Linked DNA regions of Arabidopsis thaliana. The protein of the gene in region 2 binds, or shares a complex with, the protein of the main gene of each other region. Each region holds a gene or a part of one and is shown on either strand. Other genes may lie near its edges. The genes, in order: SMC3, EMB2795, AT3G57060 and SMC2.

The links.
Region 1: EMB2795 (region 2) and SMC3 share a complex: the UniProt entries of both Arabidopsis thaliana proteins name them as parts of the condensin complex.
Region 3: EMB2795 (region 2) and AT3G57060 share a complex: the UniProt entries of both Arabidopsis thaliana proteins name them as parts of the condensin complex.
Region 4: EMB2795 (region 2) and SMC2 share a complex: the UniProt entries of both Arabidopsis thaliana proteins name them as parts of the condensin complex.

The regions. Positions count from the first base shown.
Region 1 is NC_003076.8:19,699,829-19,704,733, forward strand, and holds the start of SMC3 (structural maintenance of chromosome 3), read left to right. Parts: upstream 1-1,899; 5' UTR 1,900-2,079; coding exon 2,080-2,223; intron 2,224-2,478; coding exon 2,479-2,568; intron 2,569-2,644; coding exon 2,645-2,746; intron 2,747-2,830; coding exon 2,831-3,007; intron 3,008-3,081; coding exon 3,082-3,212; intron 3,213-3,311; coding exon 3,312-3,390; intron 3,391-3,463; coding exon 3,464-3,621; intron 3,622-3,705; coding exon 3,706-3,781; intron 3,782-3,905; coding exon 3,906-4,034; intron 4,035-4,103; coding exon 4,104-4,248; intron 4,249-4,442; coding exon 4,443-4,573; intron 4,574-4,827; coding exon 4,828-4,905. Other genes in the region: AT5G48595 (Defensin-like (DEFL) family protein), read left to right, coding at 812-860, 947-1,194. UniProt on the Arabidopsis thaliana protein: Central component of the condensin complex, a complex required for conversion of interphase chromatin into mitotic-like condense chromosomes.
Region 2 is NC_003071.7:13,828,787-13,834,872, forward strand, and holds EMB2795 (condensin complex subunit), read right to left. Parts: upstream 4,557-6,086; 5' UTR 4,424-4,556; coding exon 4,157-4,423; intron 3,953-4,156; coding exon 3,851-3,952; intron 3,714-3,850; coding exon 3,596-3,713; intron 3,258-3,595; coding exon 3,193-3,257; intron 3,121-3,192; coding exon 3,060-3,120; intron 2,971-3,059; coding exon 2,770-2,970; intron 2,680-2,769; coding exon 2,384-2,679; intron 2,302-2,383; coding exon 2,157-2,301; intron 2,061-2,156; coding exon 1,804-2,060; intron 1,687-1,803; coding exon 1,656-1,686; intron 1,451-1,655; coding exon 1,296-1,450; intron 1,180-1,295; coding exon 1,069-1,179; intron 841-1,068; coding exon 634-840; 3' UTR 504-633; downstream 1-503. Other genes in the region: AT2G32580 (transmembrane protein, putative (DUF1068)), read left to right, coding at 3-349; AT2G32600 (hydroxyproline-rich glycoprotein family protein), read right to left, coding at 4,993-5,211, 5,327-5,401, 5,537-5,611, 5,702-5,767, 5,872-5,948. UniProt on the Arabidopsis thaliana protein: Regulatory subunit of the condensin complex, a complex required for conversion of interphase chromatin into mitotic-like condense chromosomes.
Region 3 is NC_003074.8:21,115,104-21,123,102, forward strand, and holds the start of AT3G57060 (binding protein), read right to left. Parts: upstream 6,011-7,999; 5' UTR 5,949-6,010; coding exon 5,813-5,948; intron 5,505-5,812; coding exon 5,182-5,504; intron 5,096-5,181; coding exon 4,935-5,095; intron 4,846-4,934; coding exon 3,666-4,845; intron 3,553-3,665; coding exon 3,361-3,552; intron 3,169-3,360; coding exon 2,515-3,168; intron 2,417-2,514; coding exon 2,240-2,416; intron 2,116-2,239; coding exon 2,048-2,115; intron 1,958-2,047; coding exon 1,735-1,957; intron 1,651-1,734; coding exon 1,551-1,650; intron 1,459-1,550; coding exon 1,343-1,458; intron 1,259-1,342; coding exon 1,201-1,258; intron 1,114-1,200; coding exon 962-1,113; intron 881-961; coding exon 676-880; intron 563-675; coding exon 158-562; intron 73-157; coding exon 1-72. Other genes in the region: AT3G57062 (uncharacterized protein), read left to right, coding at 6,340-6,486. UniProt on the Arabidopsis thaliana protein: Essential protein. Regulatory subunit of the condensin complex, a complex required for conversion of interphase chromatin into mitotic-like condense chromosomes.
Region 4 is NC_003076.8:25,054,174-25,062,036, forward strand, and holds the start of SMC2 (structural maintenance of chromosomes 2), read left to right. Parts: upstream 1-1,851; 5' UTR 1,852-2,134; coding exon 2,135-2,452; intron 2,453-2,551; coding exon 2,552-3,232; intron 3,233-3,324; coding exon 3,325-3,468; intron 3,469-3,556; coding exon 3,557-3,847; intron 3,848-3,922; coding exon 3,923-4,108; intron 4,109-4,189; coding exon 4,190-4,354; intron 4,355-4,438; coding exon 4,439-4,498; intron 4,499-4,619; coding exon 4,620-4,682; intron 4,683-5,005; coding exon 5,006-5,097; intron 5,098-5,187; coding exon 5,188-5,284; intron 5,285-5,488; coding exon 5,489-5,605; intron 5,606-5,720; coding exon 5,721-5,939; intron 5,940-6,092; coding exon 6,093-6,233; intron 6,234-6,312; coding exon 6,313-6,480; intron 6,481-6,867; coding exon 6,868-7,052; intron 7,053-7,181; coding exon 7,182-7,275; intron 7,276-7,363; coding exon 7,364-7,452; intron 7,453-7,574; coding exon 7,575-7,800; intron 7,801-7,863. Other genes in the region: AT5G62400 (uncharacterized protein), read right to left, coding at 441-608, 957-1,433. UniProt on the Arabidopsis thaliana protein: Central component of the condensin complex, a complex required for conversion of interphase chromatin into mitotic-like condense chromosomes.

The DNA.
Region 1 (4,905 bases), on a different chromosome or scaffold from region 2:
GCATATAATATATAGATTAAATCAGGGTCAATGGCTATATGAAATTATTTTTGTCTATAGTTTGAGTAATCATATGTATAGTGTATAATGGATGATTTAATAGAGAGATTGGTTTTGTCATTTTATATATCCATCAATATATTGCAACTTCAGAGGAAAAGAAAATAGTTAAAAACCACATTTATTCTAGGTGTCTCTCATATTTGACCAGTTTCTCATCTCTCATCAATTTTCACTTGTGGACGCATGTTAGTTAATTGAAAATAAAAAGACAAAATTTATATGTAAATGCAGTATACTGTATACTGAATATAGTAATTATGTTTTTAGTTACTACTCCTTATGTTTCACAAAAAGTATCATTTTACAATTTTTAACACAAATTAAAAAAACATCTAAAAATTTCTTTTACCTATTGTAATACACTTTTTATTTTTAATTAATAATTGAAAAAACAGAAATAAAACAGATATTTGATTTTAAAAACGGCATCGAAAACACAAAACAACAATCTTTGTTAAACAAAACAAAAAAATCTTAAAACGATATTTTTTGTGAAACAGATGAAGTATTTTAAATTAAAAATTGTAAATTAAAGTTTATAGTTTTTTTTACTATCATTTATAAGAAAATATGTTTGATAAAACATTAACTACTATGTAACATAAGTAAAACCGTACCCTACAAAAAAAAAACATAAGTAAAAGCGCATATAAAGATGCTACTATCTTAACTTTAAAACATCACAACCAAAACGATCAGCAAATACGTTCCATATTTTTTTGTTAAAATATTAAAATTTTTAAAGAAAATGAAGACAATTTTTGTCTTTTTAACTCTTGCAGTTTTGGTTTCATCATGTAAGTTCTCATTCTTGTTCAATTAAAAATATATATATATATATATATATATATATATATTATAGTTTAAATTTTAATTTAATAAGTTTTCAAAAAACTATTTTTACGTGCATCAAATATTATGATAAAATCTATTTCAGAAGGAAAATCTCAGTTTTCCGGCCCTGCATTAAGCCCTAATATTGATCCAGCAGACGAACATATTGGACACTCTCCCGAAGACATGAAAATTATTTTTTGCCAACAATGTGCATTTCATTGTATTGAGAAAAAGAAGAATATAGCTCATTGTGAAAATTCTATTTGTCGTTGTACATTGGAAGACATTTTGTAAGACATTATATTTTTAGAATAATATAAGAAATAATCATTGTGACTGATTTTCTACCTTTACAGCCTCCTTTCAATTTTTAATAAAAATTAATAATATAGAATTGAAAATACATTGAGTTATACATTTTTACATATATTTAAACGACTATATACACTGAATCTTTATAACAAAGAAAAAAAAATCAAAATTGTAATTTTTGTTTGTATCTTCTATATGTATTAAGTGTTACATGTGTTATTTATAAAATGTTTGTGAAGGTTATCACATAAAATTTACTCATCATCTCATGGTTTGCTTTTTTAGAAGAGAATTTAATTTTAGAAATAGAATATAAAATCATAAGTCATATATTTCTTTTTTTGAATATAAACAATCCGAAAAAATACCTAGAAACTATCTTGTTTGTTTTGATTATAAACAATTATATATATATATATATATATATTTATTTAGTCTAAATTTTACGATGTTTACTAATTGCATAACAACCGTTAAATTAGAGGATTGAATCTATCAAAAATTTAAAGACAAAATATTATAATAAAAAGTTTAATTAAATGAGGTATTTTTTATCAATAAAAAACAAAGTAACAATTAAACGTCCAATTAAAAATGAAATATTTTTTTGGTTTTTTCCTACGTCGGTAACTAATAACGTCACAAAGTTGATGGTATTTGAAAGAATTAGCGGCAATTTATTCCCCCCATAAATTTTCATTTGTGACCTAAAATTAACTTTCCCTTTCTCTCTCCGTGCCTCTTCCCATTCTCTTTCAATCTTGTTTGAATCTCCCTCGATTTTCATTTCTCTTTCAATTTCAAAATTCGCACCTCCTCCTCCAAAGTTGTTGAAATCAGATTTTGTTGACCGGAGAGTAGTTATTTATGGAGGAAGATGAGCCAATGGGCGGCGGCGAGTCTGAGCCTGAGCAGAGGAAATCTGGAACTCCGAGACTTTACATAAAAGAGCTTGTCATGAGAAACTTCAAATCATATGCTGGTGAACAACGCGTCGGTCCTTTCCACAAGGTTAGGATTTTACGCTGATTAGATTTGGGTTTTCTCGAATTTGAGCTTCTATGTCAATTACAGTATAGTTTTCGAATTTCTCGCTTTTGAATTGCCCTTGCGAATTTCAGTTTTTTTTTCAATTTGAAGATGAATTTGAGCATATTTTTCGGATTTCTGTTTTTGGCTAGTTTGAATTGCTCTTGCGAATTACAAGATTTTCATTTGAATCTATTGATTCGGAAAATTAGATTTACTGAATTGTTGAAAATTCAGAGTTTTTCTGCGGTGGTTGGACCTAATGGGAGTGGAAAGAGCAATGTGATAGATGCAATGCTCTTTGTATTTGGGAAACGAGCCAAGCAGGTACTTGATTTACTCTTGTGTTTTCTTTTAGTCACTGAACTTTGTTTGAGTAACTCTTATGTTTATTTGGTGTTAGATGCGGCTGAACAAAGTTTCAGAGCTAATTCACAACTCAACTAATCACCAGAACTTGGATAGTGCTGGAGTTTCTGTACAGTTTGAAGAGATTATCGATTTGGTAAAACTTGTTGTCTGCTTACCTATTATTAGACTTTGGTTAAGCTTTCTAGTAATGTGAATTGTTTATTTTTAACTAACTCAGGAAAATGGATTGTACGAAACTGTTCCTGGAAGCGATTTCATGATTACTCGGGTTGCATTCCGAGATAATTCTTCCAAGTATTATATCAATGAGAGGTCGAGCAATTTCACTGAAGTTACCAAAAAACTCAAGGGGAAAGGAGTAGATCTTGACAACAACCGTTTCTTGATTCTTCAGGTTCTCACTTTACAGAAACAGCTTGTTGAATTAACTTGTTTCCCCCTCTAATATTGTTTCTTGAACGTTGACAGGGGGAGGTAGAACAAATATCACTCATGAAGCCGAAAGCACAAGGTCCCCATGATGAAGGTTTTCTTGAATACCTCGAGGATATAATTGGAACGAATAAATATGTGGAGAAGATAGATGAATTAAATAAGCAGTGAGTAATCTATGCATTTGTACTGTTTCTTTTAGACGTAAGTGGTTCCTGATTTGTTGGATGCTATTAATATAACTGCAACTGCCTCTGAAATTTAAGGCTTGAAACCCTCAATGAAAGCCGGTCTGGAGTTGTGCAAATGGTGAAATTAGCGGAGAAAGAAAGAGACAACTTAGAGGTTTGTTGACGTTTTTCCTTCTTGTATGTGACCCGGTTTTGTTGTATATGTTGCTGATGTGCTTTTGGAACAGGGTTTGAAGGATGAGGCAGAGACTTACATGCTGAAAGAGTTATCACATCTTAAATGGCAAGAAAAGGCTACAAAAATGGCATATGAAGATACTGTAGCGAAAATTACTGAACAGAGAGACAGCTTGCAGAATTTGGAAAATAGTCTAAAAGATGAGCGGTAAGCACTACTAATTTTTCTTTAAAATATCAAAGAAATTATATAAACTCATTTGTAACAAATATCGTAACATTTCTGTTACAGAGTGAAAATGGATGAGAGTAATGAAGAGTTAAAAAAATTTGAGTCTGTGCATGAAAAACATAAGAAGAGACAAGAGGTATGTCTGAAATCAATAAGATGTGTCTGCTCTCATGCTTATTGCCGACGAGGCTAAATTCATTTTTCTCTCTCCTAACTTTCAACAAATGGTGAATCACCTTATCTTCCTTTGCAATGATTAGGTTCTTGATAATGAACTTAGAGCCTGTAAGGAGAAATTCAAAGAGTTTGAAAGGCAGGACGTAAAGCATAGGGAGGACTTGAAGCATGTGAAGCAAAAAATCAAGAAACTCGAGGATAAACTTGAGAAGGTTAATAGTTTTGGAAGGATGGTTGACTTTTTTATGGCGTGCATATACCTTACCTGTGTTCTTATGCAGGATTCATCCAAAATCGGTGATATGACAAAGGAGTCTGAGGACTCAAGCAATCTAATACCGAAACTTCAGGAAAACATACCAAAGCTTCAGAAGGTCTTGCTAGATGAGGAGAAGAAATTGGAGGAAATCAAAGCGATAGCTAAAGGTGTGTTATGCTTTAGGATATTAGTCCCCAAATAATGATGTCCTTGTTACCCTGGCAGCTTCTTTAACAACATCACAGTGAAAAGTACTTGGAATTGGCAACTTCTTAAACATGCTAGTACCCATCTATAACGATTAGCTTCTTGCTCAAGAGTAAGCTTGTTCAGTTAATAATTTCTGTCAATTTTGTTACAGTTGAAACTGAAGGTTACCGGTCTGAGCTTACAAAAATTCGTGCTGAATTAGAACCTTGGGAAAAAGATCTAATTGTGCACAGGGGAAAGCTTGATGTTGCATCATCCGAAAGTGAACTCTTGAGCAAGAAGGTACATCTCATATAGTTATAACGATTTGCTTGGAGTCAAGAACTTTTGCTTGTCAAAATAACTTGGCTCGTCTTCAAAAGAATTTCTAGAGAGGTTTTTAATTAGCTTATCCCACTGCTTCTTTAAAGAATTCGTTTGCCATAGTCAAATCTTTATATGCTTCCTGGAGCTGCTTTCGCGCTGAATAATCCAAAATACTGTTGGACGACTAATTTTTTTGTTTCTGTTTGAACATTACCTCTTTGTTATTCTAGCATGAAGCTGCTCTGAAAGCCTTCACAGATGCTCAGAAACAGCTCTCTGATATATCAACGAGAAAAAAAGAAAAAGCT
Region 2 (6,086 bases):
AGATTGTGCAAAGCGTGATCCAGAGGTGAACGAAGACACAGAGAAGAACTACGCTGAACTTTTAACAGAGGAACTGAAGCAGCGTGAAGCAGCATCGATGGAGAAACACAAACGAGTAGACACGGGTCTGCTAGAGGCCAAGAAGATAACATCATCTTACCAAAAGGAGGCAGATAAGTGTAACTCGGGTATGGAGACTTGTGAAGAAGCAAGAGAGAAGGCGGAGAAAGCACTTGTGGAGCAGAAGAAGCTGACTTCTATGTGGGAACAGAGAGCTCGTCAGAAAGGATACAAAGATGGAGCCACCAAGTCAACTGTTAAATCCAAAAGCGGCACTGAGGTTGCTTAAGGACACACCAAAGGTTTTGATTTCTTATCACACGAAAGAAAAGTTTCAGTGTATCTGTGAATTTGATTCATACTATTGTATTTAAGTTTTCTGATGGAGATAAATCAATCAGATGGAATGAAAACATGTAACCAAAACAACAAAGGATTAGTGGATTTTGAACAAAGTTACAACACAATCAAGTCATTACATTGAACTACAACATACTTATTAGGCATAGTGATGAGCACAAAGGCACTCTCTAAACACTCGGCTTCTCCTTTTGGTCTATCTTCACTTTTCTTTCAGGCAAGGTGTATTGTTAGATCATCCAAGTTTTGAGAACCAATGAGGCTGAGATTGTGCTCGTTCGCCAAATGCAGCAAGCAGATGAAACATAGATGTGGTGAGATGTCTTGGGTTCTCTCGGCTGCTTGGCAATCATCTGGGAAGCTAGCCAATAGCACTTTGAAAGATCTACTTTCAGGTGGTTCTTGTTGATGTTCCTCATCCTGCACAATCAGATTCTGTTAATATCATCACAGTAATGGGCAGAAAAGAAGGAAAAGCCATCCTTGGGTTAGTTTCGGCATGGAACCATAAGAAAAAGGTGCACTGCACTAAACAGGAATGTATGTGTGTGGAATTCTAGATTGTATGTTGACAAAACTTGGCTGATGTGAAGTACACGAATGAGTCATGTAAATCATAAGAGAGATAATCAGAGTATATTGGTTAACCTGAATTGGAGGTTGATGAGATTCCTGAAGACACTCCCAAAGAGTTTCCTTTAGCACTTGCACATCAACTTGTTTTGAAGCTTTATCGTATTGGACATCAATTTTGTTGACCTAAAGCATGAGTTGTGTAGGATAATTACAACAATGTTTCATTCCTAAGATAGATAGCTACAGCCTTTTAAAATGATTTGTAATGCTGTAACCATATGCAGATCAATCTATCATACCTGGCGTGGCTGAGAGATTAATGTGTTGGTATCCTCTGCATCACTTTGATCATTTTCATTATCATCGAATGGGCCATCATCATCATCATAAACATTATCATTTCCCCAGGATTCCCCATGTTCATAATCATCAGGCTGCTGTCTTGAAGTTTCACCTGGAATATGCACATAACAAAACAAGTGTAACATAAATATTTTTTTTTCAGAAACCCAATACAGATTTAGTGGTAAATTGTTGAAACCATTTCCTTTGTTACGGAAATTTAATATCAGTAAAGAAAACAAAGACACTGTTATACGCCTCATAAACCGCCACGGATACCAACAAGTGATGATTTTCTTAATGACTGGAAGTGTTACCTGAGTTTTTTCTTCTCCTCCTCCCAAGGCACTGTTATCATTCAGGAGAGTAAATTCAGAAAAGATGACACAAAATGGAAAAGAAAAGATAAAAAAACACAGAAATAATAGCAAACTAGTGACTTGGTCTGTGTTTGGCAAGCCATACCATCACATTCGGTAGTAGAAATAGCTTTATTAGATTCTCAGGTTGATAATGGCAATCCTCTGGAAGCTTCGTTTGACAAGGGGTTCTACTTGCTGGGAGAAGTAAAGTCTTTGGGTTTTTTGGAGGGGCAAAAATATCAGGCATTTCTTCCTCCAAAGCTTTTGCAAAATCTAGTTCAGGCTCTGCTTGCTTCTTTTTCCTGGTTTTCTTCGCTGGTGGAGAGGATTTAATTTCTGAAGCAGGTTGAACATCTGGACCTGCAAAAAGAGTTCAGAGAATGTAAACCCTCAGAAGAAAATCGAAAACTAAGAGGACTTATGTTATTTCTTGAAATCAGAGATATAAGCGCATACCTTTTGTTTTTCGATACTTCCAGTGATCAGGACCTGCCCAAGAATTTTGCTTAGATGAAATTCCCAACGACAAAAAGAGATAGTCATCAACATTCTCCAGTCTGTCATCTGAATCCATGTCTTGCAGGGAGGCTGGTTCAACTTCCTGCAAAGTGAAAACATTAGGTTTTCAGTACCAAATAAAATTCATTAAGAAAAAAGATTATTAGAAGAGCGATGGTAATAACCTCATGAAAATTTGAATATATTGGTTCTGCTTCATTGGGGCCAAAGTTTTCATCAACATCACCGGATTGACCCTCATAATCAAAAGAAGTTCCAAAGTTCTCATATCCTTCATCATCGTCGGCATAGCTAGCATCATTACCATGTGAAATATCAAATGACTCGGTCGTCTGCTGACCACAAGAAAACGTGTCAGATGGTCTTTGGTTCTCTTCATCAAATTGATTGATTATAGCCCGAAGAGATGGTACAATCTCATCCTTCTTTCGCATGTTTAGCACCATTTGCTCCACACATTCTACAAATTTAACCACAACATCAGAGAAAGCATAATGCAATAAAACATGTACAATGGTAGAGCGAGGCATATCAGCCAGTAAAGCCAGACCTTTAACAAAGGATAGATCAATTGTTTCTGATTTGTCATGCTTATTTGCAGACGAAACAAGCTTTCCAGGGATTTCTTGTGAATCAAATAGAACTTGACACCCTCCATAGACTCCTAAATTGTTTAGCAGCAGGCCCTTTGCTCCACCTTCATCAAACTGTGCTGAAGTCTGATGATAAAGGGGATCCACTGCAAATGCCACTGGAAAGAAAAAAGAAAGATAAATTATTGTCGTACATAACTTACTTTCACAAACGAACAAAGGGAGTTACGTTAAGTTAAGCAAATACCATCAAATTTCTTCACGTTAAGGGCATCAAAGGAAGGTTCCAGTGTTGATAAAGGCGATATCTGAAAGTTCGAAACACATCAGTAAATAGTCTCATCTATTAAATCCAGAATTAGATTTTGTGTATGAACTACCTTTTTCTCTGGCTGCTTCTTTTGGTTAGTTGCATTTTCTACGGCACCAGCAGCATCCTCGTGATCTAGTTCATGAAAGAAATATCAGAAAAGAATATAAGAACTTTTTTTACTTTAGTACCTACGTTAGAAATTAGAGCTAAAGAAAGAAATTCAATGCATTGCATAGCCCTCTTCAGAGATTTTAAATTCTCGTGTAGAAGTCAAAACAATAAGAAAAGTATTCATCTGTTTACCTAATGAGTTTCAAGACTAGTTTGGCAAACCATATTAACAAAAATGAGTGAATAAATATCTCCACAAATAGATAAAGCTACATGTTGTCTGTTGAAGTTTACCCTGACAGTTATAACCAAGTACTAAAGATAAGATAGTTTCTTGTGTGTAAGGTTATTAATCTAACCTCCACCGTCATCATGGCCAGCTCGGGTAATTCCACCCAAGACCTTGTATGCCTCTGAATGAACAGAGTCTACCCGCATTGAGTAAATCTTAACTCCAGCTTCAAGAGTGCAACTTGCCTGACTTGGACGAACACATATGTCTTAAATATGATTCTGAACTCTTGTTTTTCCTTTCAGTTTTATGTTTTTGTGTATTCTCAAACGTCTTAACAGCATTTTAAAAAAGCCAAAGAAGAATGAAATCGAAAGCTTACCTTTTGAAAATTTGTTTCTGTATTGTTCTCATCTTCAACTTTGATAATCTCACAAAGATGGTCGATCAAATTCAACTCCCATGTATTCTTTTGATTGATTTTCTGTTTAACACAAAACCCACATAACATAAATTAAATTGCAAAGCTAAACAAAGATTATAGTGATTAAAAAGCTACTTGTAAATCTCATCAGAAGCATATTTACCCAAGACCAAGGTCAAAGACAAGGACTTTTAGCCACGAATTTTCCTTTTTCACTTGCTATAATTATGGGGGAAAAAAAGACAGAAGAAAGTAGTTGCTTACGTTTTCACTGGCTAATTTGATACAGTTCTGAAACAACTCGAGAATTTGCTGTTTGTCGAAACAAGGATCAGACTCCGTCTCAGGCTGAGACCCACGAGCGAAAATGACAGACCTACGACGGCTAGCAGCGGCTCTTGCGGCTCGAGCTTGTTCCCGTTCCAATCTGTCATCGTTAGATCCCAAGAAGAAGGGACTCGTCGGAGCCTGGATTCGAGTCGTCGTTGAAGCTGGCTTTTGCTTAGGGTTTGGAGTTAAGGATTCATCCATGACAGAACTTCTCCGCTTGTATAAACTCAATGAGAGAAAATGCGTTTGTTGGGTTCACCGGAGCTTTGTGGATCCGAGAAAATTCAAAATAATTTGGGAATTAGGGATTTTAATATTTTGATTTTCCCTCTTCTTTACCCTTTTGAATTTCAGAGACACTGATGAGAATGTGTAAATACATGATTACCCCCGTCGAAAGGTGAGTGACGTGGTATACTCCACTTTGATCATCGTTAGAAATAATTTAAATATGAAATATCCATGGCCGGTCATAGGACTGATAGATTGGGTTAAGACTTGGTTAAGAGTTAACCGATATATAACAAATGAATTTTGTTTCGCCAACGCTAATTGTACTATTAACGGAAAACAATCTTGTCAAAATGGTACATACGAGAAGCAGATAGAAGAAACTCAAAGAAGGTATCTAGAGAGCTAATACATCCGTAGAGATCACAGCTTTGAGAATCCATGTCAAAACAGATTTGTTTTTCAGTCAAAGAGCAAGTCTCTCTTAGTAAACCATGATCAGAGTACTGTGTTTTTAAACTGCTTCGCTGGATTCTCTTTCACATGTTAGGATGTCCGAAACCTCCAGCTGGTGGCATGGGCCTAAAACCATTGTTAGCCATTGGAGGTGGTGGCGGTGGGAATAAACCAGATGGAGGTGGTGGTGGCGGTTGAGCTTGATGAGGCGGGGGTGGTGGTGGCGGTGGAAGACCATTTGCTCCAACAGCTGACTGAGGCTTGTTTGGTTCTGGCTTGGTAGGCTTGAAATACACCTGCAGCTGTTTTATTACATTCTTTGTCAGTATTTTGATTAATCCAAACACAAAACTTATCCAATCTCGGAAAAGAAACTAAGCTTATGGCTTTATGAGAATTATGATGAGAAGCACTTACTGTAAACATCTTGGAGTCTGGATCCCAGTGAGAGAAAAACTTTGGGGTTGATTTATCAACCTCTGTGCTAGGAACCTGAAACCAATGCGAAAACACAACCATCAATATCAGTAAACAATTCGACCAAGATATGTTGGGCTACTAGAGCTATAATCCCAGATGACTTGTAGAATGTAAATGTCACGAATAAAAGAAAAAAAAAACACATACCTTGAAAGCTATGATTTCATATGGTTCGGCTGCAAATAGAAGGTATTGATAGCTCTTGTCATAAGGTTGAACTTTCTGCACACAAAAAAAAAGGAAGAAAACTATTCAGTATGAAGGAAAAGAAAGAGTTTATGAGATACATAGACAAGGAGTTGTAACACTCACCTGCTCATAAGATGACATGAAACGATGTCTTGGCTTTATGTTGTCCTCTATCTCAGGATATTCAATCTGTAAAACATTGTTTGAGGAGTAAACAGACACAGTGAGATTTTACTCTGGCTAAGTCTCTAATGATGATCATTGAAGTTCAACAATAACAATTAGATGCTTACCTGGAACAGAAGAGATCTTTGTTGCAGCTCGGGATCATACTGTTTTGTAACCCGGTACCCTGGTCTACCAATTTTAACTGCAAGACCATACATAAAATGGAGTTATTAATAAACCCTTTAAAGCAATCAATTAAGTAAAATCTATGTACTCAATAGCAAAGATATACAATTTTGCTATTACTTCTAGACAATCACTTTCCCATTATATCCAATTC
Region 3 (7,999 bases), on a different chromosome or scaffold from region 2:
TTCTCCTGATGCTGCTCGATGACTCTGTACTCTTGCTTTCTGATTCGCCTTCTTCCCCTGAAAACCTCACAACTTTACTTAACGGTATATAACAATTTCTAAAATGTAGCTTAAGTTGTGTGAGATTTTTGAAATACATATTGAAGTTTTCACATACCGCCACTAGTCTTTTGGTTTAAGGAACGAGGATTGGTCGTACCACATTGTGCAGAATCTGGCTCTTCCTCCGAGTCAGATGGCTCTTCCTCTGAGTCAGATTGCTCTTCCTCGGACTCAGTTTCAATCAAATTATCGCCACTAGTCTTTCGGTTTAAGGAACGAGGATTGGTCGTACCACATTGTGCAGAATCTGGCTCCGAGTCAGATTGCTCTTCCTCGGGCTCAGTTTCAATCAAATTATCGCCACTAGTCTTTTGGTTTAAATAACGAGGAATGGCCGTACCACATTGTGCAGAATCTGGCTCTTCCTCCGAGTCAGATGGCTCTTCCTCTGACTCAGTTTCAACTAAATTATCGCCTGATTCTTCCATTGATGGATCCACAATTTCACTATCTGAAACACCTGAGAATACAAAAAACAGTCCATTTTGAAAAGCTTGCCGTTAACTGGCATTTGACTATCGTAAGTCTGGTACAGTGAACTTTGCTTTAGCCAAGAGTCAAAAAATTACTAACCTTCACCTTCATCATATTCTTCTACAGGTTCTTCTTTCACTTTGCTGAGGACAGCAAGGGATTCCATGGTCTTGGTTTTCTCTCTATGAACCTCGGCATTTCTTGCGGTTTCTTCTTGTTCTTTCTTCTCCATGTGGAACTTGTTGATCTTCTCTTCAAACTCTTCGATACACGCTTTCAGTTCTGGCTTCGCAAACTTCTTTCCCTGTTCAGATTCACAACCAGATGTCAAACTAACATATAGCATTAAAAATGACTAGGGTGACGAAAACCAGAGAAACCAGACCTTATTGATTATGCTTCTAAAGTTCTCGGTCACCAAATCCTCTGCTAAAGCGTGCTCGTAAGACTTGAATGACTCAATAAGCTTTTTGATTCCCTTTTCTGTGAATGTCAGCAGCGAAAGAGAATACGAAATGTATTCCCACTGTTTTCCATCTGCAAGTTTAGGTGTAGATGTCAAAGGGATATACTTCTTATTAAACCCAAAACAGGTGTAAGGATATATCATCAATACAAGCATACCTGTGACTCCGCTAAACCTATTGCAAAGCTTCTCAACTAGAGCCTCCATCTGTTTGTCCTGGAGATTGATGAGGATGCAGATGAGTGATTAGATAAGAATAAATACAGGTCATACTAACTTCAATATTGAAAAGCTGTATACCTTTTTGATGGAGCCGATCAAGAATTGCATGACATTACAGAATGACTCCCTCTCTAAATTCCGGTTGGATAACTGCCCAAGTATATCAGGAAGTAGATTGTATATGGGATTCGATCCTGGATTTGTTTGGCAGAAAATAAACTTAAGTGTTAAATTTGATTCAAAGGTGGAAGTTGCTATGTCATGTAAAGCAGCTATTGCAACTGACCTTTCTTAGACAGTTCATGGAAAAATAGTTTTGCGAGACTAGAGATCCTCTCCACATCATCTTCTATACATATAGCCATTTCATATATATAACCTTTCACCTGAAATCAGGATTCACAAAATGAAACCTCCAACTATAATTGCAGATATTTAAAGAGAGCAAGGAGAGAGGTAAGGAGTCCAACCTTCATCATATCATTCAATATAAGATGTGAGAGGACCAGGACAGCATTTTTCCTGACAGAAACTGAAGCATCCCGTAACCTGGCATACATATTTTCTGTCCAAGGTTCTAAAAGATTTGGAAAACGAACAGCCAAGTCTCCAAGGGAAAGGGTGCAATTCGATCGTACAACTTCAGACGGTGCATTTTCAACAACTGTGAAGAGAAGCTGAAGATTGGATTCGCTGGCATACATTGAGTTTAATGCATCAATTTAACTATAAATTCAGTTTTGTAAAGGATAAATAGACTATATGATAATGATTTAATCTCACCAGAAACTTGCATCAATAATCATAAACCTGCATAATGCAAGCATTGCGGAAGCTTGTAGTTCAGGATGCTGTACGAATGAAAAGACAAGTTTCATTTTATCATGTATATCCAAAATAAATGTGAGAGCAAAAGAAGGCTTTTAACTTCATCACACGCCATGAAACAGAATGAATGAATAGAAAACTAACTACCTTTTGCAGCAGAGAAAAATTTCTGCAAAGCTTAGAGAGAAAAGTTGCACACTCCCCAATCAGATTCTTCTCAACAGAACCCCCAGAAACAATTTCCCTCTCTGCTCTTTCAGCGAGTGTATCAAGCAGTGCATCATCAGAGGCAGCAAGTCCTAGCTCAGCATTTATGCCATTGTTCTACAAAACAAAGAAAACTTTGCATTATTCAGCAAAAATAACCCTTTAGGGTTGTAAAATTTGTGCCACCAGCTGCGCTCTACGAAATTGGTCTGTACCTCTTGGGTGGCCTCAAGGTTTTCTTCTGTGTTCTGACTTTCAGCAGCCGGTTTGTCCTTTTTAGTCTTCTGTCTCCGGATCTTCTGGATACAGGATTCTATATACACCAACTGGTTCATGGCAATGTGACTGACAGCGAACAAAAATCTACTGAGTTTAGCCACTTGAACTGGAGTCAAAATATCAACTTTATTATTTTCGGTATCAGTCTGTGCTTCCTCTTGTTCAACTACGTCAAACACAGTGCTCAGGGACTTTTTAATAATAGTAGAAGCCAATGTTTCTGGAGTTGGGTGGATCATGTATATGGCACTTATGGCTTTATCAGCAGTTGCATAATATATATTTTCTGGAAGCCAGTTCCCAGTGATCAAGCTTTCAAGAATACCAAACAATCGGCTGCCACTGCTGAGCAATAACTTTTTCCTATCTTCCTCGGAGAACCGCTGAATAACAGTACATGCAGTTCTGGCAAGTAGAGGTTCCACTTTTGCCCAACGGCCAAACCCAATATCAATAATATCCTGTATGTGTGATCCAAGAATCCTAGGGGACGACTTTGCAGCCATGCAAAGGATAGATAGAGCCCCACGACTTTGCTCAGCAGTTGTCCCATTGATGTTAAAGCAAAAGAAGTCCCATAGAGCTGATGTCTACAAACAGAAAAATGATAGAAGCACTTATTAGCCTCTAGCAGGTGAAAATCCTTTTCGCTCGAGAAATTTAATCAATAATCAAACGCTCATTATTTTTAGTTGTTCTTGACTGTGCATAAGCAGACTACACGTATCAAGTGACCATAATTCATAGCATACTCATACGCTGGAGTCACAGAAGGAACCTACCGTGCTGCTAGATATTTCACCTTTTGACACTAAAGCATTAACAATAAACTCTAGTGCTGCCTGATCTCCTATATTCGAATCTATGGCAAGGTTCAACAGCTGTTTCGCCGTGTCAACTGGATTTTTCCTTATGTAGATTGAGATGAAGGCATTCTCTACTGCCTCATAGATAGACTTATCCTGAGAAAAGGCCTGCAAAGACAACAATAAACAAGGTTTTTAGCACAATGTATTAAGAGGATGCTAACTGAAAAATGTCAGAAGAATGTATTCTTATGAGTTTGATACATGATAAGCGACCATACCAGAGGCAGAATTTTACGGAGACAAGCTTCTGCACCGTCAATTTGGAACTGCTTACACCTCATCAGCAAAAGAATAGCATTCTCAACATCAGTGGCAGAAGATGAAGCCATTAATTGAACGAGGATTGGCATACTGGCTGACATGCACTTCGAGAACCTCAATCCAGCCTCTAGGGAAGCAATCAAAGCCTTGGTTTGCTCAACGTTACCAATATCTGGAACAGAAACATCCTTCTCACTGATTTCTTCTCCATTCTCTGGCTGACAGCTATCAGATAGACTATCTTGATGAATCTTAGTTGTAGTTTCAAGATGCAAGTCATCGATTTCACCATCTCCATTACAGGATTCACCATCTGAAGTTGACTCTTTTGATGCATGCTCAGTAGGTTCAAGTTCGTTCAGTTTTCTTTTATACTGCTCCAGGGTTGCTTCAAATGAAGCTATCCGCAGCTGTGGACCAAAGGGGTTATGTTGCAACATCATGATCAGTAAATTCAATGCGGATTTTCTAACAATTGCACTCTTATCTTCCAGTCTTCCAGCAGATAGTGATGCAACTTCATTCCATAGGCCAATTGAAACAGAATGCTCTTCACAGAGTTCAGCCCACACTTGAAGAACACGGCTCCTTGTATAGGCTGAAACATCTCTACAGCGTTCGAGCAAAATTTCCAACATAGCTTGCTTAGTTCGCAGACGAAGGGACTTGGAACTCATATCTCCCTCGACATCATTAAATGCTTTTGCAACTAATTTCCCAAGAACACCAACTAGTGCGTTTCTTATCTTGTATGATTCACCACCAAAATGAGGGACCAGAACTCCAACATTTGTCGACATTAATTTTGGCAAACGATCAGCAAGCTCGACCAGGAAACGTCCCACATTATCAGCCCCAGCAGTATCTTTAACGTAGGCCTTTGGGTCAGTCCTCCCAATATCTCTAATGATTGTCACTGCCAACGTACCATCTGAATACTTGCTTTCAGCTCTAGCAACTGCATCAGCAATGTGTACAACAGCAAAATCATACTTGTGTATCAAGTGCATGATTGAGGCACATGACTGCACAATGTAGTGGTATTTTGTAGCAGATGCTCCGATGATTCGGCACAGTGCATCTTTTGTCTCGGCATCTTTTAAGATTGTGGCATTTTCAAAAAGAGTGAACGAGTTTCTACAAGGAAATGATATGAAAATGTTGTGAGAATGTATCTATAGCATGGACTATGAAAGAAACAAGATTCATTAGGTCACGGAAATTACTTGACAATGAAAGACAGGTAGTTTTCGTCTAGGTCTGATGATCCAAAGAGCAAGGATAGGTTGATTTCAAGAGAATTTGCGATCAAATTGAGCATCCTACCCCTCTGAGGTTCCCAGTTCCATGACTGGATGATTTGCTTTTTCCTCCCTCGTGCTGCAACCTGTTCATCCACAACATCACTACCGTAAATTCGACAACAAGAGATGAATTTTATTCTGTATTATCAGCTGGAAAAAGAGAGAACACCTTTGTAGTCTCGACTGAGCTGATGTGTGATTCCTCATTCATAACAACAGTGAGGAGAAAGAAAGTGTATATCTTCAAGGCATTGCGATGTGATGTGATCCTATCAATGATTGGAACATCATCCTCCTGATCTTGGACAGACCGGGATATCGAATCGACATTGGGAAGAAGAACGCTTAGATTGGACCGAAGGCTTTCTACAAGATTACACTTGCAAGATGGAGGAAGACTAAAGAAGCTCCTGACCAAAGAGTAGACACGATCAAATACATCTTGATCCTCGACACAAAAGAGTTCTCTATCAGAAAGGTCAAAGGATACACCTGTTCCACGAGACGAAAGTAAACAAAATGCCTCACATATCAATCACAAGAGTCATAGAAGAAATTTGACTCCAGAAACGCACTAAATGAAATTTCTCTCGACTTAAATTTAATCAATTTCATATTGTTCAGCTTCGCTTGTAGACACGAATTCCCACTAAACCTACCTGACGACTCAGGTGACTAAGGACACTATCAACATACATAATGCAATTTTCCTCCCAAATTGGGATTGCAAAGCAAATCTAAACCCTCTCGCAATTGCATCTCAGATACGCTCATACAGTGGAGAGACAAAGACAATTTACCTTTGACGAATTCTTCCAGATCGGAAGGGCGAAGAGAGGTTACATCGACGGGATTCTGAGCGAACAAACGGTGATTATCCTCCGGATCTTCTTCTAGGGCTCGTAGAATTTGAGGGAATACAAAGGGAGGAGCCATTTTTTCTAGAGAGAGAGAGAGACGTTGCTCAGAGGAGAGAGAGAGAAAGAAGAATCTACCTTTTGGGGAATTTCAATTTCAAAATGAAATCGAAAAAGGCAACGGAGCGGGAATCCATGGATCATCCTATCGGGTCGGGTTCCGGATACAAAACCGGGTCGGATCCTAATTATTTTATCTTCATGTGGGCCCTCGAATTTAATTATGAGTCTCCGTCGGCTGGTGAATAAATACGACGAAGACGTGGCCGAATCTAAATGGTTGGAAGATCCTTGAACCTACCGAATCATCTTTGATTTTTTTTTCCCCAAGCTTTTGGCCACTCTAATGGCTTCGCCGGCCAATCATTTGATCTGACGAAAGAGAGAGAAAGAAGCAGAAAAGCTTTGAGATGGCGATGCCGCTGGGCATGGCGATGTATCTGATGAGAATGGTTTGGTTTTCTCTGAGTGGTTGGGTTTTCACTTGCGTGGCTATCGCTGATGAGATCGCTGGTTCTCTGAGAAACGGAGATATTGGTCCTTTCCACGTCGGATGATTGAATTCGAGATCCTTAGCTCTCCTTCTGTGCGTATATGTTCTTCTCTTCCCCAAATTTTACGTTTTTTTTTGTTTTGCTCTGTTGTTTTAGATTAGAGTCGCTTCAAATTTCCCTACAAACTCTGAAATTGATAATAGTTTGAGTTTATAGAGGATAAAGATAGATCATTTTGGTCGAAAAGGGAACAATTTTTGGTGGAAGTGATTGATATATGTCTCAGTCACTCAGTGTGTGTATGTGTAACTAAAGTTCGGCTTCGTATATGAAACTATACATATCTTATGGATTCGCATGGATGTTGTTATGTTAATGATGCTTGTTAATGGCCCATGAACAAAAATCGAGATTTCTCAACTCCAATTTGGTTGTATTTGTTCTGATCAGCAACTCTGGGATGCATATAATGCTCGTTTCCTTTTGCTCAGCTGCTTGAGTTTATCTCTCATAGTAGCTGGTTTTTGTGTCGATACAAGTATCCTCAGGATCATTCACATGCTCAGATAATTTATCTCCTCTCTACATAAGTACATCAGCATTGATGATATGATCCATATGCTTAAGTGATTGTCTGGAAAACAGTTCATAGGTGATAATACCTTCTTAGCTTCAGTACCAAAACATTCCTGGAAGCATGTTTTATAATCCTGAAGATTACCTTTTGTTTTAGTTTTTCTCCTTAGCTTACTAGTCATTGTTTTGCATTCAGGCCTTTCTGAATTCAGGAAGGGCTTTTACAGCAGTAAATGCGCAGAGTACACAAGTAAGGTTCTATCATATCTTCTGTTGGTACGCTGGCAAGGTTCTTAACTATGAAACATTTTGACAGACAGAGAGAGGTAGAGAGAGAGCAGAGCAGCAGTATATGTGTATAGTATATAGTTTGTAGAATTCCAGAACATATGTGACCTCATACTTGTGAAAAAATGTTGCTGAAACAATTGAGTTTCTATCAATTTCAAGAAATCTTTTTTAGCCTCTTCTGCTTGGAAGATCACACAAGAGAAAATGATTTTTCCCTTTGAATTTACTTTGTATATATTTAGCTCATTGGCGTCAAAGAAATCTATTACATTCAAATATTCAATGAAGAACCAAACATTTTTATCTGTCAAGATCCACCTCTAAAACTATTGAGCTTTCCTCTTATATTAGCTTTTTGTCTTATGCATATCTTCCTTATATCATATTTAGTCTTTGTAGTGTTAGGTTCTGAATTTCGAATCTTTCCTCTTCCCTTATTGAAAAGAGTAAAAGACAAAGAACAAAGTACCAAAAATAATAAAGAATCTTCAAGGAGTTTTTGCCTTGTGCAATTCAACTTCTTCCCATGTTGTTTATGTGTAGTCCAATTAGTGTTATTTTTAATTAAGATGTGGTCCAATTAGCTGTTCTTTTTCTAAACCGTATAACATAATAATACGTGATTCAAATACATTAACATAATGCAAAAATGTAACAGCAAATTCATTAAAAACAAAAAATGTAACAGCAAAGCACCATACTTTCTCTC
Region 4 (7,863 bases), on a different chromosome or scaffold from region 2:
TTTGTTTTAGAGTGTTTTTGACTCGGAAGCTCGTGAACTCTGCGAATCCGGTCACGAGTAAGGTGTATTAATAAAAGCTCTTTTGGATTGGTAGTGATAATGGCTTTACGAATAAATGAGCTTTATTTAGAATTTGATCCAAAAATTTGATATCAGATTTAAGACAGAAGATGGAGAAGACGACAAATTCTTGAGTTTAACGATGTTGAGATTGAACAAAAGAGCAAGAATGGTCAAAAACGGTGGGCCTTGAGGGTAAGTTTGACATTTACGATGGGGATTATCCGGTTTGGCCATTTCCATGCCATTTCAAATATAAACTAATAAAAGTTTACTAAAGCTTATTGTATTAGCAATTAAATATTACTAGTGAATAGTATTTTCATTACTGGCGAGATAAGTTGGTTTGAAAATTTCTTTATTCGACGTATAAATTGGTTTTATCTATGATAACCAGCCCGGTTCGATGAACAGATGAGGCGGATATTGAAGATAACCGTGTGTTTAGTGGGGAAATGACGAATTTGACCTTGAAGCGTGTGAGGTATTACGTCGACAAGAGAATCTTTCGGTGGGATTACAACCGGGTAAAAGATGGCACGTGGGGCCTGGTTACTCCCACGTGAGCCACACCAAACAAATCTTACGTTATTTTGAATGTGTTTTATCACGAAGACAAAAAATGCCAAGAGAATCGAAACAAACAAAAAAAACATAAATAGAAAGCAAAGATCTATTGAAAATTACATCAGAATCATTGTAAAACATTAATAGAAAGCCAAAACCTATTGAAAATTACATCATAATCATTGTAATTTAACATTCACATGATCCCATCATAATCAAAACAAAGTAGGTTCAATGAAAACAACGAAAATTTGTCACCAAAGTTAAGTAGGAGTGAGAAAAATGGTTTCCTCGTTCATTTGATTACAAAGATAACCATAGAAACTTACCATACTCGTAACAAAACCAACTATACCAAAACTAACCAAACCCCTAAACCGCTTCTTCTTCATCTTCTCGGTTCTTCTCATCGCCAACTTCTCTTCTAATGAATTCGCATCTTGATATTCTGCATGTAACGATTCAACCAACGAGCGAACCAAAGTGGTCTCATCTACACCACCACCACTTTCCAAACTCTGCAAGTCCAGTTGGTTGATTGGACCGGTCTTTTCCTTGAAAGCCTCTTCAAGTTCGGTTAACCTCTTAGCCATGAAACGAAGTTTCAACATCTCTTCTTCGTCTTCATCGTCCTTAACCGACGATATCTCCGCACATAAAAGGGTTTGCGTGAAAACAAACCGGGTTCCGAATTCCCGGTATGCGTTAAGATCACCATTGCCAGAACCGAATTCTTGTAGGTAATACTCAAGTTCTTCGAGTTTCTTCCCCAAGATTGTGTTTGCTTTCGCCTTCGTCGTCTTCATCCTTTTCTTAAACAATTATTTCTCCCATTTTCGAAAGGTTTTAAACTCTTAAAAATAACTTCTCGTAGTCGATCGGATGGCGACGGTTAATGTGAAGCTACACGTATCATAAATATAACTGTCCAAGGCCAAGGTTACGTGGCCTATAGAAATTAGATCCTATAGTTTTGCTCCCTCGACGATATCGATATCCGTTGTGTGGATCTGCGCCATGCATGTCGAACATGATATATGTGCATTAACAAACATAGCACCATTCATTAGTCATATTCAAACAAGGAATGAACCATTAATTTGTGGGTGTGAAGCAGAGTGGGATATCGTTGTTAACATATGAAGTATACATGTATAAAATTGTACAGAATGTATTTGATACCATCAAACCTTCTGAATGGTGTGGAAGGTTTCAGAACTGTTCCCAAAGTTCACTTTCCCGCTCCTTGTGTTCCCAAATCGAAATGCCCTTGTTTTCAAAATCCCAAATCGACTCCTAATTATCTTCAACTAAAAAACCAAAATTGACTTCAGATTCGCCTTCTTCTTCTCTTGCAACGTTTCAATTTCATGTGCCTTCGACCTTAGATTCCAATTTTGAATTCGAATTTCTGGGGTTTCGATTGAGCTCTTCTCGCTTTTTTCTAGGGTTTTGTCGCATATGCTGCGAGTGTGAGTGGAAATTTGGGGGAAGAAGAAGAAGGAAGATGCATATAAAGGAGATATGCTTGGAGGGTTTTAAATCATACGCGACGAGGACGGTGGTTTCTGGTTTCGATCCACATTTCAACGCGATAACGGGTCTGAATGGTTCGGGAAAATCCAACATCCTCGATTCCATCTGTTTCGTTCTGGGTATCACCAATCTTCAGCAAGTTCGAGCTGCTAATCTTCAGGAACTCGTCTATAAGCAAGGCCAAGCTGGGATTACTAAGGCGACTGTCTCGGTTACCTTTGACAATTCCGAGAGACACAGAAGCCCTCTCGGCTACGAAGAACATCCAGAGATTACTGTGACTAGACAAGTATGTTCTTTGTTTCTCTTTTGTTGTACTCATCAATTCATGTGCTTGACAAAATTTGAGACTTTAACTTGGAATTGTGTATCTTTTGGTGTTAAAAAGATTGTAGTTGGTGGAAGGAACAAGTATTTGATAAATGGGAAGCTAGCACAACCAAGTCAAGTTCAGAATCTATTTCACTCGGTGCAGCTTAATGTCAACAATCCACACTTTCTCATCATGCAAGGGCGTATCACCAAAGTTTTGAATATGAAGCCTCCGGAGATATTGTCCATGCTTGAAGAAGCTGCTGGAACAAGGATGTATGAAAACAAGAAAGAGGCTGCATTGAAAACGCTTGAAAAAAAGCAGACCAAGGTTGATGAGATTAATAAGCTTCTTGATCATGAAATATTGCCGGCTCTCGAGAAGTTGAGGAAAGAAAAATCACAGTACATGCAGTGGGCTAATGGTAACGCGGAGCTAGATCGACTAAGGAGATTCTGTATTGCCTTTGAATATGTTCAAGCGGAGAAGATTAGAGACAATGCTGTTCTTGGAGTTGGAGAAATGAAGGCGAAGCTCGGGAAGATTGACGCGGAAACAGAAAAGACACAGGAAGAAATACAGGAATTTGAGAAACAGATAAAAGCTCTGACTCAGGCAAAGGAAGCCAGTATGGGGGGAGAAGTAAAAACTCTGTCAGAAAAAGTGGATTCACTGGCTCAAGAAATGACACGTGAGTCATCTAAACTTAATAACAAGGAGGACACCCTTCTGGGAGAAAAAGAGAATGTTGAAAAGGTTAGAGACTGAAGAAAATTATTTCTGTTGCCAGAATGTTATAGATTCTCAGCTATTTCTGGCGTAAATAACTTCCTACTTGGTGTTGACAGATTGTTCACAGTATAGAAGATTTAAAGAAATCCGTAAAGGAGAGAGCCGCTGCTGTGAAGAAGTCTGAGGAAGGAGCGGCAGACCTAAAACAAAGATTCCAGGAACTCTCCACCACATTGGAAGAGTGTGAAAAGGAACACCAGGTAGTACCACTAAAAAAGTATCTCTATTCCATGCCAAATAATATCCATTCGTTTTATGTTAATTGGCTTTATGTCCTTTGATTATTAGGGCGTACTAGCTGGTAAGAGTAGTGGAGATGAAGAGAAATGCTTAGAAGATCAACTACGGGATGCAAAGATTGCTGTTGGAACAGCTGGAACAGAGTTGAAACAGCTAAAAACCAAAATAGAACACTGTGAAAAGGAGCTAAAGGAGAGAAAGTCTCAGTTAATGTCAAAACTTGAAGAAGCCATTGAAGTGGAGAATGAACTTGGAGCTAGGAAAAATGATGTGGAACATGTAAAAAAGGCACTTGAATCTATTCCTTATAACGAGGGTCAAATGGAAGCTTTGGAGAAGGTTAGCATGGTCACTTTAGTTGATTTTGTCTTTTTCTACAGAAAGTATACTTCTCTGACTGAAATATATATTTAGGACCGTGGAGCCGAACTTGAAGTTGTGCAGAGGCTGGAAGATAAAGTGCGTGGCTTATCAGCTCAATTAGCAAATTTTCAGTTTACATACAGCGATCCTGTGAGGAACTTTGACCGATCTAAGGTGAAAGGTGTGGTCGCAAAACTAATAAAAGTAAAAGATAGGTCCTCAATGACAGCGTTGGAGGTAGACTGGATATCTTATCATTTCACAATAAACACTGTTGGGATTTCAATTGCCTGAAGTCACTTTGCTTCTTGTTTCCAGGTTACTGCTGGTGGCAAGTTGTATGATGTTGTTGTAGACTCAGAAGATACTGGAAAACAGCTCCTTCAAAACGGTGCTCTTAGGAGAAGAGTTACAATTATACCTCTGAACAAAATCCAATCTTACGTTGTTCAGCCTAGAGTGCAGCAAGCGACTGCTAGATTGGTATGTGGATCTTTTGTTTGGTCCATTTAGATTTAATCTCTTTGTTTTCATTTTCATTGCTAATTTTTTATTATATATTTTCAGGTTGGAAAGGATAATGCAGAACTGGCACTTTCCTTAGTCGGTTATAGTGATGAATTAAAGGTACACGCCTGCACAGAGTAACATGAATCTGATATATAATCCTCTATTTTTCAAGTTTTCAAGAATACATAATAAATTTCAAGTTCAAGCTCATATTTGTGTGAATCATGGTATTTTGCAGAATGCCATGGAATATGTTTTTGGCTCCACTTTTGTTTGCAAAACTACTGATGTAGCAAAGGAAGTAAGTATTTCCTAAGCATTTAGTATTATATGTGGGCAGGGCCTTCAGTTTTTCTTTCTTGTGAGATGATGTCAGCTTATATATAAATCTTTACGTGGAATATGTGGTGTGTACATTTTTTTAATTGCCTAAGCTTGTTTTTAGTAACTCTTGACGGATAATCTATTCTAAAGTTTATCACTTTTGTTGGGGTTATAACTTATAAGTGCAACATATACCTTGAGTTTATTCCCACTGTCTTAGCTACTATTTGATAGTTTTGATTTATTGCTTTTGCCTCTAGAGTTCAGTCTTTGATGTGCCCCTCATTGCTTCTTCTGCAGGTTGCTTTTAATCGGGATATTCGGACTCCAAGTGTCACACTTGAAGGTGACATTTTCCAGCCAAGTGGTCTTCTTACTGGTGGGAGTCGCAAGTATGTCTTTCTTTCTTGGACGCTTATATCTCTAGTGAGAGTCATCTCCTTATAAAAGTATTTTGGTCTTTTTTTTTTCCTTTGCCTTAGGGGTGGAGGTGATCGCCTTAGGAAACTTCATGACCTGGCAGAAGCTGAATCAGAATTACAAGGACACCAAAAAAGGTTGGCTGACGTTGAATCACAGGTAAACCCCTATTCTTCCGTGATAAGTCTAAATACAACTTGGAATTGAACAGGTGCTAGCCATATTTTGAAATTACTAAGAAAATGATAAGGCAGTAGCTTAGTAATGGTCTCTGATTGCTCTCTCTAGACTCCTCATGTCACACAGTTATAAAGTACTTTCAGTATTTTAAACGTAAACTGCTGATTTATCTTGACATGACAGATCAAAGAGCTTCAGCCTCTTCAAATGAAATTCACAGATGTTTATGCACAGTTGGAGCTGAAGACGTATGACTTGTCCTTATTTTTGAAGAGGGCTGAACAAAATGAGCATCACAAGGTTATATCTCCATCTTCTATCTATATCTTTCAAGCTAAATTATCTGCGTCGTTGGTTTTTTTGTGGTACTTGAATCACATACATTTATACTTTCCATCACCTGTTGTATACACAGCTTGGCGAAGCTGTAAAAAAACTTGAAGAAGAGCTTGAAGAAGCGAAATCCCAAATCAAAGAGAAGGAACTTGCTTATAAAAATTGTTTTGATGCTGTTTCCAAACTAGAGAATTCCATCAAAGACCATGACAAAAACAGAGAAGGAAGACTTAAGGACTTGGAAAAAAATATTAAAACCATCAAAGCTCAAATGCAGGCAGCTTCCAAAGATTTAAAGGTATTTTATATTTTTTGGTCAGTTACTTCCATGCCATTGAACTTCTTGAATCCATTTTTCTTTTCCTTATCCTGGGTTATCCAGTTTTATCATGGAAGCATTGCCTTCTTTTGAATTTGCTGTAACGTTGTCTCTGGTTCGTCATGCGCATAGAGTCATGAAAATGAAAAAGAGAAGCTTGTGATGGAGGAAGAAGCAATGAAGCAAGAACAATCGTCCTTGGAGAGCCACTTAACTTCATTGGAAACCCAAATCAGCACTCTGACTTCGGAAGTAGACGAGCAGCGAGCCAAGGTGCTGTAGTTTTGCTACTCTTGGTGAAGTTTGTTGAAAATAAAGAAATATATCATGTTAATATATGATTCCCCTGCAGGTTGATGCCTTACAGAAGATTCATGATGAGTCTCTTGCCGAGCTCAAGTTGATACATGCAAAGATGAAGGAATGTGATACACAGATAAGTGGTTTTGTCACTGACCAGGAAAAGTGTCTGCAGAAGCTTAGTGACATGAAGCTTGAGAGAAAGAAATTGGAAAATGAGGTACTTTCTGTTTCTGTTCTATTCCTGTTTCTAGGTTTTGCAAAGCTACAAGCCATGCTTGTTTCTTCCTCACTACCAATCTGATTTATGCTGTTCTTGCACTTCGTATAAAAATCTTTCGTATTCACTAATCTTGCCTATTAAGAGTTTCTGCCTTGGATTTCTTTAAAATTTTGAAAGTTCAGTAATTGCGTTAAAGTTCAAACGTCTCAATGGGTAACATACAGCTGTTGGGGATGGTGAGTGAATTAGTAATTGCATAGAAAATTAAGACTTTCTTGTAACGTGATTTTGATATAAAATTGGAAAAGTTCAGTAGTTTCTGAAATTTCTGCATGTCAAGGAATATACTTTTCGTGACAACTGTCTCTTCCAATTTATTTATAGGTCGTAAGGATGGAAACGGATCACAAGGACTGTTCCGTGAAAGTAGACAAACTTGTTGAGAAGCATACATGGATAGCATCTGAAAAGCAACTTTTTGGGAAAGGAGGGACAGATTATGATTTTGAATCTTGTGATCCGTATGTGGCCAGAGAAAAACTTGAAAAGCTCCAATCAGATCAATCAGGGTATGTGTATGAGAATTAACGTTTTATCTTTATGAAACCTATATTATATTGTCGTCACATCATTGAAGTGAAATATCAATATGACATGCATTCTTCTTCTTTTCCTGGTTATTTATTTCCCTCATGAAGCTTGGAAAAAAGAGTGAACAAGAAGGTTATGGCTATGTTTGAGAAAGCAGAAGATGAATACAATGCTCTGATATCGAAAAAAAATACTATCGAGGTTAGTTACAGAGGACAGAGGGCCTTTGCAATGTATTTCAATAGCTTCGTGTGCCATCATAACACAATTTTTTCGGTTTTTTTCCTAGAATGACAAATCAAAAATCACGAAAGTGATCGAGGAGCTTGATGAGAAGAAAAAAGAAACCCTGAAAGTTACTTGGGTTAAAGTTAACCAGTGAGTGTCTTTCTAATCTCCAACAAAGAGTTTGTCTTTGCTCTTAGGCTCATGATCTCATTCCTCAATGTCTGAAAAGATAATATGATATTAGCCTTTGTTAAATCCTTCTTTTTTATTAGGGATTTCGGATCAATCTTTTCAACTCTACTACCTGGCACCATGGCAAAACTAGAACCTCCTGAAGACGGTAACTTCCTTGATGGTCTTGAGGTGCGTGTTGCCTTTGGAAAAGTCTGGAAGCAGTCTTTATCAGAACTCAGTGGAGGGCAAAGATCTCTTCTTGCGCTATCACTAATATTGGCATTGCTTCTCTTCAAACCGGCTCCTCTTTATATATTAGATGAGGTACATCTCTGCTTTTCAATTTCAGATTTCTCAGTTTCCAATTGATATTTCAAATTATCATAG